2 linked regions of the Drosophila melanogaster genome follow. The protein of the gene in region 2 interacts with the protein of the main gene of each other region in a biochemical or structural test. Each region holds a gene or a part of one and is shown on either strand. Other genes may lie near its edges.

Evidence for each region.
Region 1: of the proteins of grp (region 2) and dpa, one has a biochemical effect on the other in vitro, tested with the Drosophila melanogaster proteins (one study listed by BioGRID).

The regions. Positions count from the first base shown.
Region 1 is NT_033778.4:7,496,163-7,502,029, reverse strand, and holds dpa (disc proliferation abnormal), read left to right. Parts: upstream 1-1,884; 5' UTR 1,885-2,255; coding exon 2,256-2,328; intron 2,329-2,392; coding exon 2,393-2,703; intron 2,704-2,762; coding exon 2,763-3,691; intron 3,692-3,751; coding exon 3,752-4,123; intron 4,124-4,184; coding exon 4,185-4,551; intron 4,552-4,620; coding exon 4,621-5,073; intron 5,074-5,133; coding exon 5,134-5,229; 3' UTR 5,230-5,328; downstream 5,329-5,867. Other genes in the region: didum (dilute class unconventional myosin), read right to left, coding at 2-240, 306-1,119, 1,522-1,551; CG1620 (uncharacterized protein), read left to right, coding at 5,769-5,867. UniProt on the Drosophila melanogaster protein: Acts as a component of the Mcm2-7 complex (Mcm complex) which is the putative replicative helicase essential for 'once per cell cycle' DNA replication initiation and elongation in eukaryotic cells.
Region 2 is NT_033779.5:16,678,289-16,683,070, forward strand, and holds the start of grp (grapes), read left to right. Parts: upstream 1-1,765; 5' UTR 1,766-1,988; intron 1,989-2,161; exon of another isoform or gene 2,162-2,362; intron 2,363-2,417; exon of another isoform or gene 2,418-2,430; coding exon of another isoform or gene 2,431-3,156; exon of another isoform or gene 3,157-3,365; intron 3,366-3,530; exon of another isoform or gene 3,531-3,610; coding exon of another isoform or gene 3,611-4,078; exon of another isoform or gene 4,079-4,114; intron 4,115-4,214; exon of another isoform or gene 4,215-4,330; coding exon of another isoform or gene 4,331-4,782. Other genes in the region: her (hermaphrodite), read left to right, coding at 30-293, 355-687; squ (squash), read left to right, coding at 2,431-3,156; CG31807 (uncharacterized protein), read right to left, coding at 3,611-4,078; CG33552 (uncharacterized protein), read left to right, coding at 4,331-4,782. UniProt on the Drosophila melanogaster protein: Serine/threonine-protein kinase which is required for checkpoint-mediated cell cycle arrest and activation of DNA repair in response to the presence of DNA damage or unreplicated DNA.

The DNA.
Region 1 (5,867 bases), on a different chromosome or scaffold from region 2:
CAAATATATCGCAAGAGTCACTGTCCTCCTCTTCGCTGCCCTCGTTGAACTTCTTGGAAACCTGAATGTTTCCTAAATGGAGTATTCCTGCCAGGATCTTTACGATATCAGCGATCTGTTGAATGGAGAAGCCCAGAACTGTCATGGCCTGCACGGTTTCGTTAAACTGCTCCGCATCCGAAACTCGTTCAATTTCAGGAGCGCCACCCATGTTCAGAAACTGGAATTTGTCCTGGTGATCTTTGAGAGAATGGAAATATTACTTCATTTTCTAAGCTGAAATAGGAGGGAGCTTCCAGACATACCCAGCACCAGTTCAGGGTACTTCGATCGCGCCGCGCACAGCTGATAGAATATGTGATAGTTGCGCTCTCCCTGGGCCTGGTACACCACACGTGACTTCTCCAGTAGGTAGGTGTGCATAGTGGCTCCCTGCAGGAACATCACACCCATCTGGTTCCGGAACAGCAGCTTGGTAAACTTTCCAAAGCGGGAACTGTTGTCATTCCGGGTCGTCTTGGCATTTCCGAAGGCTTCCATGATCGGCGAAGATGCCAGCACCTTGCGTTCGACCTGGGTCTCCGACTCGGAACCTCCAACAGCGGCAAAGTACCTCATGGCGTATTTGGCGGACACCGTCTTGCCCGCACCCGACTCCCCACTGACGATGATGCTCAGGTTGCAGTTCTCGCGCTCCAGTTTCGTGTACGCCTCCTCCGCCAGGGCAAAGATGTGCGGCTCCAGATCACCCATAGCATGACCCCGATACGCTCGGATTATGCTGGGCCCGTAAAGAGGCATCTCCGCGTACGGGTTGATGGCCACCAGAATGATGCCGCAGTAGGTGTAGATAATCTGGCGCTCGCAGAAGCGGACACGCAGATTGTGCAACACCCCCGGCTCATGCAGGTAGGACAGGGTGGTCAAGTCGTTCTGTCCCACCAGAATGGCCGGATTGCGCAGTGGAGGCAGATCGCTGCCATCGGCCTTTAGCTTGACCTCTTTCAGTTTTCCGGAGTCCGTACATATCTTCAAGAAGCCGGCGCCCTTGCGGTAGCTCTCCTCCAAGGTGGCGCTCTCCCACACCAGATCCGCATGGGGCACCCAGATCTTGGCGCCCTGCGAAAGAAGTGAGCCGAATTAACAAGTTTTATGAATGGGAGTTATGCCCGATCCCCTCTAGAGACGTCACCCGACCTGGTGTCTTATCAATCGAGCTTATCACACAACCCATTCCCCTGTCGATAAGACACCCGCGAATATTGTATGTAGATGAATCATTTTTAAACATTTCGGGTGCTGCGATGCAGTCATCAATGGCTAATCACCTGCCATGGGAACAAATCAGGGCCAAGAACTGTCGAATGGCCTGCACACACACACACACACACACACACACTTCGGACGGGGGAAATCACGTTATGGGTGCGATTTTATATTGGCACCATTTGCAGACGACACCGACACCGCCGCAATCTGCCACGATGCACTTGTAGGGCATCAATATATACTGTGCAATACCTGCGCGTATAGCATCTCCTCGCTAGACATGGTTCCACTGGCTCCTCCTCCTACTCCAGGTTCCGCTTCGCGCTCCTTCTTTCTCTCCTCTCCTTCTTCCTACTCCGCGTGGGAGTGAGTTGGGTGCATAAATCCCGTTAGGTTTAATTTCCTTGGTGGTACGTTTTTTTTCTGGCTCTGACAGCCTATTTAAATTACCATTTTCGTGGTCTTTTTTTGGGTTTATGTAAATGTACTGTCCTAAATTACTTAAAATTAGCCAGGAATAATTTATAAAAACATTGATAATTTTTAGATCGCAACGCCAAAGTGTGAGAAAAACAAACAAACTTCCGTCCCTGTCACCGCCTGACTGACTGACTTATGTTTTGTTGTTGGCAAAAGGGCAGGGTTGCCAAAGGGCGTGCAGTTTGGGCCAAATTAGAAATGTGTGGTTCTAACCATGGATTAAATTTGAACAAAGTAAAATATCTTGCAAAAAGATTTGTATAATGCCACAGTAACTGAATTTTTTCTTGCAAAACACCCCAGAAAGCACCAATTATTTGGCGCGCAATGCTCTGCAGTTAGATTTTCAGCACTGCTCAACTCACCCATTGGTATTCTTCAACACTGCAACAGTTATTTTCCCGCCAATTTTTAGCTGGTCTGTCCCACCGCATCGTTTTTTGTTTCACAACAGCTACAGTTTTCGCCCAGGACGCACGGGTTAAATAAATATCTTCTCTAAGGAAATGTCAAGCCCCGCTCGTTCGCCCAGTGTTGGAGGTGCGACGCCCAAACAAGGCGCCCGCACACCCACTAGAGGTGAGTATCGACGTGCCACAAAAAGTGTGTTCTGTTTGCAAAGCAAGCGTCTGTCTGCTTACAGGCATTGCGTCGCAAGATGTGGAGACACCCATGCGCATGGGTCCCGGGAGGGCTGTCCGGCCCTCGGACAACATCAGTTTGCCGCCCACCTCGCCGGGAAACATCAGCTTGCCAGCCACCAGTCCGGCTCGAGGATTGGGTGCGAACATGAGCGAGATCGATCTGAGTTCGCCGCTGAACTACGGCACCCCCAGCTCGATGGGGTCCATTCGAACCCCTCGTTCCGGAATTAGAGGCACTCCGCTGCGGGCGCGGCCCGATATAAGAACGGACAAGCGCATCCGCCAGGTGGCCATCGGTGGGGGCTCTGGGGTAAGTGTACGCTGGCAACTCATTTTGGGACTTTCAAATTAGTTTAGTCGCTTTTACAGCTCGAACCAATTCCTGAGAAGGGCTCTGAAACCACCGATCCTGTATCGGAATCTTCGCAAGCACCTCAGCTCGTCGTCTGGGGAACCAATGTTGTTGTCAGCCAGTGCAAATCCAAGTTCAAGTCGTTTATTATGCGCTTTATTGACCCCAGTGCCGAGCAGGACGAAATCTCCGAGAATATTGATGTTAACCAGCCACTGTATCTTCAGAAGCTGGAGGAGATTCACACATTGGAGGAGCCCTATCTGAATCTCAACTGTGCCCATCTCAAGACCTTTGATCAGGACTTGTACCGCCAGTTGATCTGCTATCCGCAGGAGGTTATTCCTGGCTTTGATATGGCCATAAACGAGATGTTCTTTGAGCGTTATCCTGCCGCTCTTCTGGAACACCAGATTCAAGTGCGCCCCTTCAACGCGGACAAGACACGCAACATGCGATCCCTAAATCCCGAGGATATGGACCAGTTGATCAGCATTAGTGGCATGGTCATTCGCTCGTCGAACGTCATTCCCGAGATGCGCGAAGCCTTTTTCAGTTGCAACATCTGTTCCTTCAGCACAACCGTCGAGGTGGACCGCGGTCGCATTAACCAGCCCACGCTCTGCACCAACTGCAACACGAACCACTGCTTCCGTTTAATCCACAATCGATCGGAGTTTACGGATAAGCAGCTTGTCAAACTTCAGGAGTCTCCAGATGACATGGCGGCGGGACAGACTCCGCATAATGTGCTTTTGTATGCTCACAACGATCTGGTGGACAAGGTGCAGCCTGGTGATCGCGTCACGGTCACAGGCATCTATCGGGCGACGCCACTGAAGACTGGAGGCCTCAGTTCGTCGGTAAAAAGTGTGTATAAGACGCACGTGGATGTGGTTCACTTCCGGAAGGTGGACAACAAGCGACTGTACGAGGATGAGGAGGGGTAAGTCTTGCATTTTATTACTGGTTAGAATAAAATTTGATAATTTTAATTACCTACCAGTAAGGATCACATCTTCCCGCCAGAACGCGTTGAGCTGCTACAATTGCTGGCCAAGAAACCGGACATCTACGACCGCTTGGCCAGGGCCATTGCCCCATCTATTTACGAGAACGACGACATCAAGAAAGGCATCTTGCTGCAGCTCTTTGGTGGCACCAAGAAGAAGCATGCAACTCTCGGCCGCCAGAATTTCAGATCGGAAATTCACCTGCTGTTATGCGGTGATCCGGGTACTTCCAAGTCCCAGATGCTGCAGTACGTCTTCAACCTCGTGCCAAGATCACAGTACACCTCCGGTCGCGGTTCTTCGGCCGTCGGTTTGACTGCCTATGTGACCAAAGATCCGGAGACTCGCCAGCTGGTTCTGCAAACGTAAATCTAAAAGCTTGAATCAGATTCGAATTTAGGTTGTAATCTTATGGCTTGTTTTCAGAGGTGCACTGGTTTTGGCCGATAATGGAGTTTGCTGCATTGACGAGTTTGACAAGATGAACGACTCGACACGCAGTGTGCTGCACGAGGTGATGGAGCAGCAGACACTGAGTATTGCCAAGGCGGGAATCATCTGTCAGCTAAACGCGAGGACCTCGATTCTTGCTGCCGCCAATCCCGCCGAGTCTCAGTGGAATAAGCGCAAGAACATCATTGATAACGTCCAGCTTCCGCACACCCTGTTGTCCCGCTTCGACCTAATCTTTCTGGTCCTGGATCCCCAGGATGAGATCTTTGACAAGCGACTGGCCAGCCATTTGGTATCTTTGTACTATGTGACGCGTCATGAGGAGGAGGATACCATGTTTGTAAGTAGCTTGGATCAATTGTTGGTATTTCTCCGGAATATCTCTGTAACATATTCAATCAATTTTCAGGACATGAGCGTCCTGCGCGACTACATCGCCTATGCCCGCGAACATCTGTCGCCTACGTTGTCGGATGAAGCGCAACAACGACTCATTCAGGCCTACGTGGACATGCGAAAGGTGGGCGCCGGTCGTGGCCAGATCTCTGCTTACCCGCGCCAGCTGGAGAGTCTCATCCGACTGTCGGAGGCGCACGCCAAGGTGCGTCTCAGCAACCAGGTGGAATTGCTGGACGTGGAGGAGGCTTGGCGGCTTCATCGCGAGGCTCTCAAGCAGTCGGCCACGGATCCCCTGTCCGGCAAAATTGACGTGGGCATTCTCACCACCGGCTTATCAACAGCCGCTCGCAAAAAGCGCGCCGATCTGGTGGCAGCCATCAAGGAAAACCTCAAGAAGAAGGGCAAAGTTCTCACAGTTCCCTATCAGAAACTGTTTAGCGATATTAAGGAAGGATCCCAAATTGTAAGTGCTAATATAATATATTTATAATATAAAATCAATGTAAACGATAATTTATTGCAGATGATCACACGCGAGCAATTTGAAGATGCCCTGAAGGAGGTGCAAGATGAGGGCGCAATTGTTGTCATGGGAAAGAACACCATTCGTATTTGTTAATTTTATTACATTTATCTCATTCAAAACCAACCGCAAATTCATTCATTCCTATTTTTAAGCGCAACTACAAAAATGTTTTCAATAAAAAAATTTCAAATTATTCGTTTCTGTTTTATCAACTAATATGTAAAGAAAAATTGCACATAATTAAATTATTTGGAAAGTTTATATATTGCGGTAGAAAAATAATTGATTGATATTTGAATATAATTTTTTTATTTTTCGAGCAGCTTATAATGTAAAATATATGGACATGTCAACGTGGAAAATGTTGTCAAGCTTGCTAAAATATTGATAAAGTGATTTATACATAAGAAGAGCACATATCACTTAAATTTGAAAAGGCAGAAAAACTGAATCTTAAAATTCGTGTAATTAAGCATTACTTTGGAAAGCCAAACAAAAACAAATTTCGAATATATAGGAGTACCCCAACTAAAAAAGGAATATCCCAGTTAGTGCCGTTTTTTAGCGCATTTGCGCAGGCGAAGTGCAGATATTTTGGCGCTCTGGCTGCTGCCACACTGTGTGTACGGAAAATGATGGAGTTCGGGAAATCGTCGGATCACTCCCAGCACAGCGCTTCCGAGGCGTCGGCGGACTCCGGCAGCCTGGCAAACAGCGATCTGGCCGTCACG
Region 2 (4,782 bases):
ATCATTAACAACATTTACAATGTTTGCAGGCTGTCAACGTTGATGGCCAGTTGCGATGGTTCCAGTCAATAGATCCACCGCCGGGAGCTCCAACAAAATTGGAGCTGCCCATAAAGAGCACTTCAATTTCTGTCCAGCAGCAAATGGACGAATTAGACGATGAGTTGGCCATGTCCCTTGCCGAAGAAGATCAGCAGGATGAGTTTCTTGTGCCAATGCTGAGCGGAGAGGAACCAGTTAAAATAAAACAATCATCGCTGACCGATCTGGCTTGGAGTTGGAGTACGCCGGATGTAAGAAAGAACTATAAACGAAAAAAACGAACTTTTCCTAACAATGTTTTTATCACTAAAGGCTGTACATCACATAAGTCCCAAAGCGGAACTCAAGAAGGACCTTAAAGCTGGCGATGCAGATACAGATTTTCCAGATTGGTGGGATGATGGCAAGTACACAAAGATGCAAAAGAACCAAACATTTGCAAAGCACTCAAAGAAGCCGTCGCAGGAGAATGTGCAACGCATCCTGCGCATCATCTATGACATTTACTACAAACCCTTCAAGGAAGATCGCAAGCAGTTCGAGGCATTTCAAATTAAGGACTCCTGGCTGTGCGCGACTCGAATGACTCGCATGCAGATAATCAAGGACATGTACTCTAAACAGGGCACGTTAAGTCAAACTTGATGATAAAAAATGTATCATCCCTTTGGTATTTGTATAAGAATACCATTAAGTTGTTTACTATTTAAAGTGTAAAGTAAACGAATTAAGAAAATCCCAAGTACTTTAAAACTAGTTAATTAACCTTTAATTTAAGCCCAAAAACAAGTATAGGAGTAGTTTAAAAAAGAAAGAATACTATAGTCGAGATCCCCGACTATCATATAACCGTTACTCAGCTAGTGTGAATGCGAACGCGAAATTTAATCCTCTGGGATATTAATAAATATTGTATAATGTGAAAAAATTTAAAAAAAATTCAAACGTGTGGGCGTGACCGGTTTGGCGGCTTTAGGGCGTTGGAATGGGCGTGGCAAAAAGTTTTTTGGCAAATCGATAGAAATTTAAGCGACTAATAAAATTATGAAAAATATCCAACAATTTTTTTTTTAAATATGGGCGTGTCAGTTTTGTGCGGTTTGTGGGCGTCGCAACATGGGTTCCGCTGCGTCTTTATCTCTAGAATATGTATGCTAAATCTCAACCTTCTAGCTTTTAAAGTTTCTGATATCTCGTCGTTCATACGGACAGACGGACATGACTAGATCGACTCGGCTATTGATTCTGATCAAGAATATATACTTATATATAAATATATACACTTTATATAGTCGGAAACGCTTTCTTCTGCATGTTACATACTTTTCAACGAATCTAGTATACCCTTTTACTCTACGAGTAACGAGTATATTTTAGGAATTGTGTTATTCAATAAATTGTGTGTTGAAAATGTCTACACTACGATCGATTATTGAAGAAAAAATAAATTCAATGAAAATTAAAAACAATTAGTCAATAATTATATATTATTTTAAATATGACTATTTATAGTACCGGATAATAATCATATTTAAAAAAGTGTATTTAATATTAACAGCTAAATACTGTAATGATTTTAAGCTAAATACAAATAAAATCAGCTAAATACTGAAATCACAAATTTATGTGCCTTGTGATTTTCGACGATCGATACTTGGGATCCGAAACGGATAACCATCGATATCAGCGATTTACTGGAGAAATCGATAGCTTGCACTGTGCATCCAGTTTTGCTCCAGCCCTATCGCAAACTAAAGTATATTTTAGCAGCGTTTGCGGAATTTTTTGCATTTCAGTTACTCCAAGTGTGAATAAGAGCACGGTCGCTGTTATAGTGTCTTGCAAAGCAGTGAATTAAAAAAGTTTAATAATCCAAATCGAGAATCCCAAATTTGTGTAGACGTAGCAACAACAGTAAAACGCGCTGGCCGGAAAAGACGCTGCTGGTGAGTTGGAATAGTGGTGCATAAATTAGGAATGTATATATGCTGATTCGTGGGGCATTACCCTTTGTTTATTTAATGACTTGCTTGCTGCACCCCGCTCCCCCTTCCTTAACCTTTTGTTTAACTTTTTGGCGCAATATTATTCACCTTGACCACGCACCGGTGTGCAAAAGATTCACCGCACACCGGTGCACTTAAATTCACCACAGCCTTAATAATTCTTACGGCATTTCCGTGCTCAATGGTGAATGGTCGCACTGAAACTATTCTTTGAAAATAACGGAGTAAACATTCAGTCTCAGATTCTGAGAACTTGTTGACAGTGTAGCTGTTCAATTGTTTTCATGGCGAGTTCTCGGAGTATTTTTTGTTAGGTGAGTTTTAGGTTATGTCTGATGTCAGAAAATTAACAAATAAATTTCGCCTAAGACAACGCACGATCATGGCATGGGTTCCCAATTCGCAGTTCGAGGATGATCTGGTCGACATGGAGCCGGATTTCAATTTTGTCCATGGTCAACTGGCCTACGACATGAAGAAGCAAGGGGAGTTTTGGCCGCGACCGAAATGCACATATGAATATCTGAAGTCCCGGGAAAAGAGGAATTCCGAGCTCGAAAATATCCATGGAAGCAGAGGCGGAACTGGTCGTGATATTCGGCAAAGCCTTCAGCTAATGGAGAACATACAGAAGATAGCAGGCACAAGGCCGCTGGGCGAGCACGCCACTATGAAAGATTGGGAGGATGAAAGCACAAATGAGCTAGAGGCGTTAGCCATGATGCGTCACTTCGGAATGATGTCCATGGCAACAGATTCGCTGCCCGTTCTGCCCGAAGTAAAACCACCAGAAGGACCCATTAAAATTATAAGAAACGGACGGAAACAATTTCCCCTCATCACAGACCCCGAATTTTTTAAACCACGCAAGATTCCCCGAACGAAGAATTCCAGTTCCAGTAGTTCGTATCATACTGCCAATAGTTCAATCAGTTCCTTCAGCCTTTATGAATCTGCCGCTTCAGATTTGGACAGCAGCAAGAAGCAGGGCGAGATCAAGGCGTCAAAGTCGGAGAAATACCTCGAAGTACCTTACAAACAGCTTGCGGAGAGTTACGACCAGGAAGTGGAATCACCAGTCCAATTTGGAAACCAATTCAATGAATGAAGGAGGAACCAACGGGGAATGCAATTATTAGAACCAAAAAATCAATCACTTTTTATATATAAGCTTCTGTAACATGTAAATAAACGGCTTAAACGTCGTTTAGAAAACCGAATTTATATTGGATGCAGTTCTACAAATAGAAAGAAAAATACTTGATATCATAGGGTAAACAAAATATTTATCTATTTTAATAAATTAAATGCGAAAGGAATGTTAGTGCTGTAGAATTCAATATATCCTTAAATGAATTTTTTTATATTAATTTATTGTTGCAAATGCATGTTTCCCAAACCATTTGGTAATTATTCAATTGTATCCCCTCCTAAATATGAAAAAATTGGAATATAGTCGGAAATATAATCGAGGTATTAAAATTTATGTTTATCGATTAAATCGATCGCGCTTATCAACGCACTATATTATAGCTAGAACATCGTATTTATAGAAAATAATTTTATGGCGTGTTTAATAACACACGCCAGACGTCTCTTTCAATAGCTACTTTGCGGCATATTGGGCACATATCGGCATGCTGCAAGTGGGTCCGGATGCACATCTCCCCAAAAAGGTGACCACATCTAAGCGAAACCAAGCGGTGATGATCCTTCGCTTCCCAAGGATCCAGGCATATGCAGCAAGTATTTTCGATGGCAATCTTCTCAAGCTGCTGTGTTAATTCGTCCTTGGACTCGAACAACAACTGCTCTTGCAATAATTTCTGATTGGTTATCTCTTCTTCCATTTGGTAATATAGCTTGAGTTCCTCCTCGCGCATTTTATCCTTCTCTTGAGTTGTAATATTTAGCTTCGCCAGTTGCTTGTCCTTTTGCTCACTTTTTTTCCTTTCCGCTAAGAGCTGCTCAACAACATCCTTCTTCAGCATCCTCATCAACGAGCGAGTCTGGGCTTTGTTATTGGGCATATTGTAAAGAAATTAAAATTACAAGGTGAACGAATTTTTTAGACAAGCACTTTTAGAACGAATGTCTTCTCAGTGAAGGTTTAAGCGTGGACTGCCTAGATTGAACAAAATTATTTTTTCTTGTAATCATTAGAATTAGTTGTGTGTTGCATTTTCCAACACAGCCAACATATTTACAGCTGTCAAAAAAAAAATCCATTTCAAAATAAAACTCGACTGTAATATTTGCGAATCGTTCACATCGAAAACGAGATGGATAAACAAGATATTACAAAGATGACCAAGAAAAAACTCATCGTTGAGGTCATTAAGCAGCGAAAACGGAACAAAGAAAAGGACGAAATCATCAAGGATAGTTTCGAGTCCAAAAAGCGTTTAATTGATCTGCGACTGCAACTGGACAAGGAGAAGAACATAACGAAGGAGTTGCGACTGAGGCTAGCGGCGCAGGACGCGATTGCGAATCAAGCGGAGAACCTGTCTATGAAACGAAAGAAGATCGCCGAAGAGAACAAGTGCTACATTTGCAAATGGAATTATGAGGTTACCGGAGACCATCGCCCAGTTTCAATTAAATGCGGTCACCTTTTTGGAGCGAATTGCATACTACATTACTTGCAGCGTAACAAGACATGCCCCATCTGCAAATCACAGATGATCCGCTGTATGGATGTTCGCATTATTATAGCAGGTCAAAATTTGTG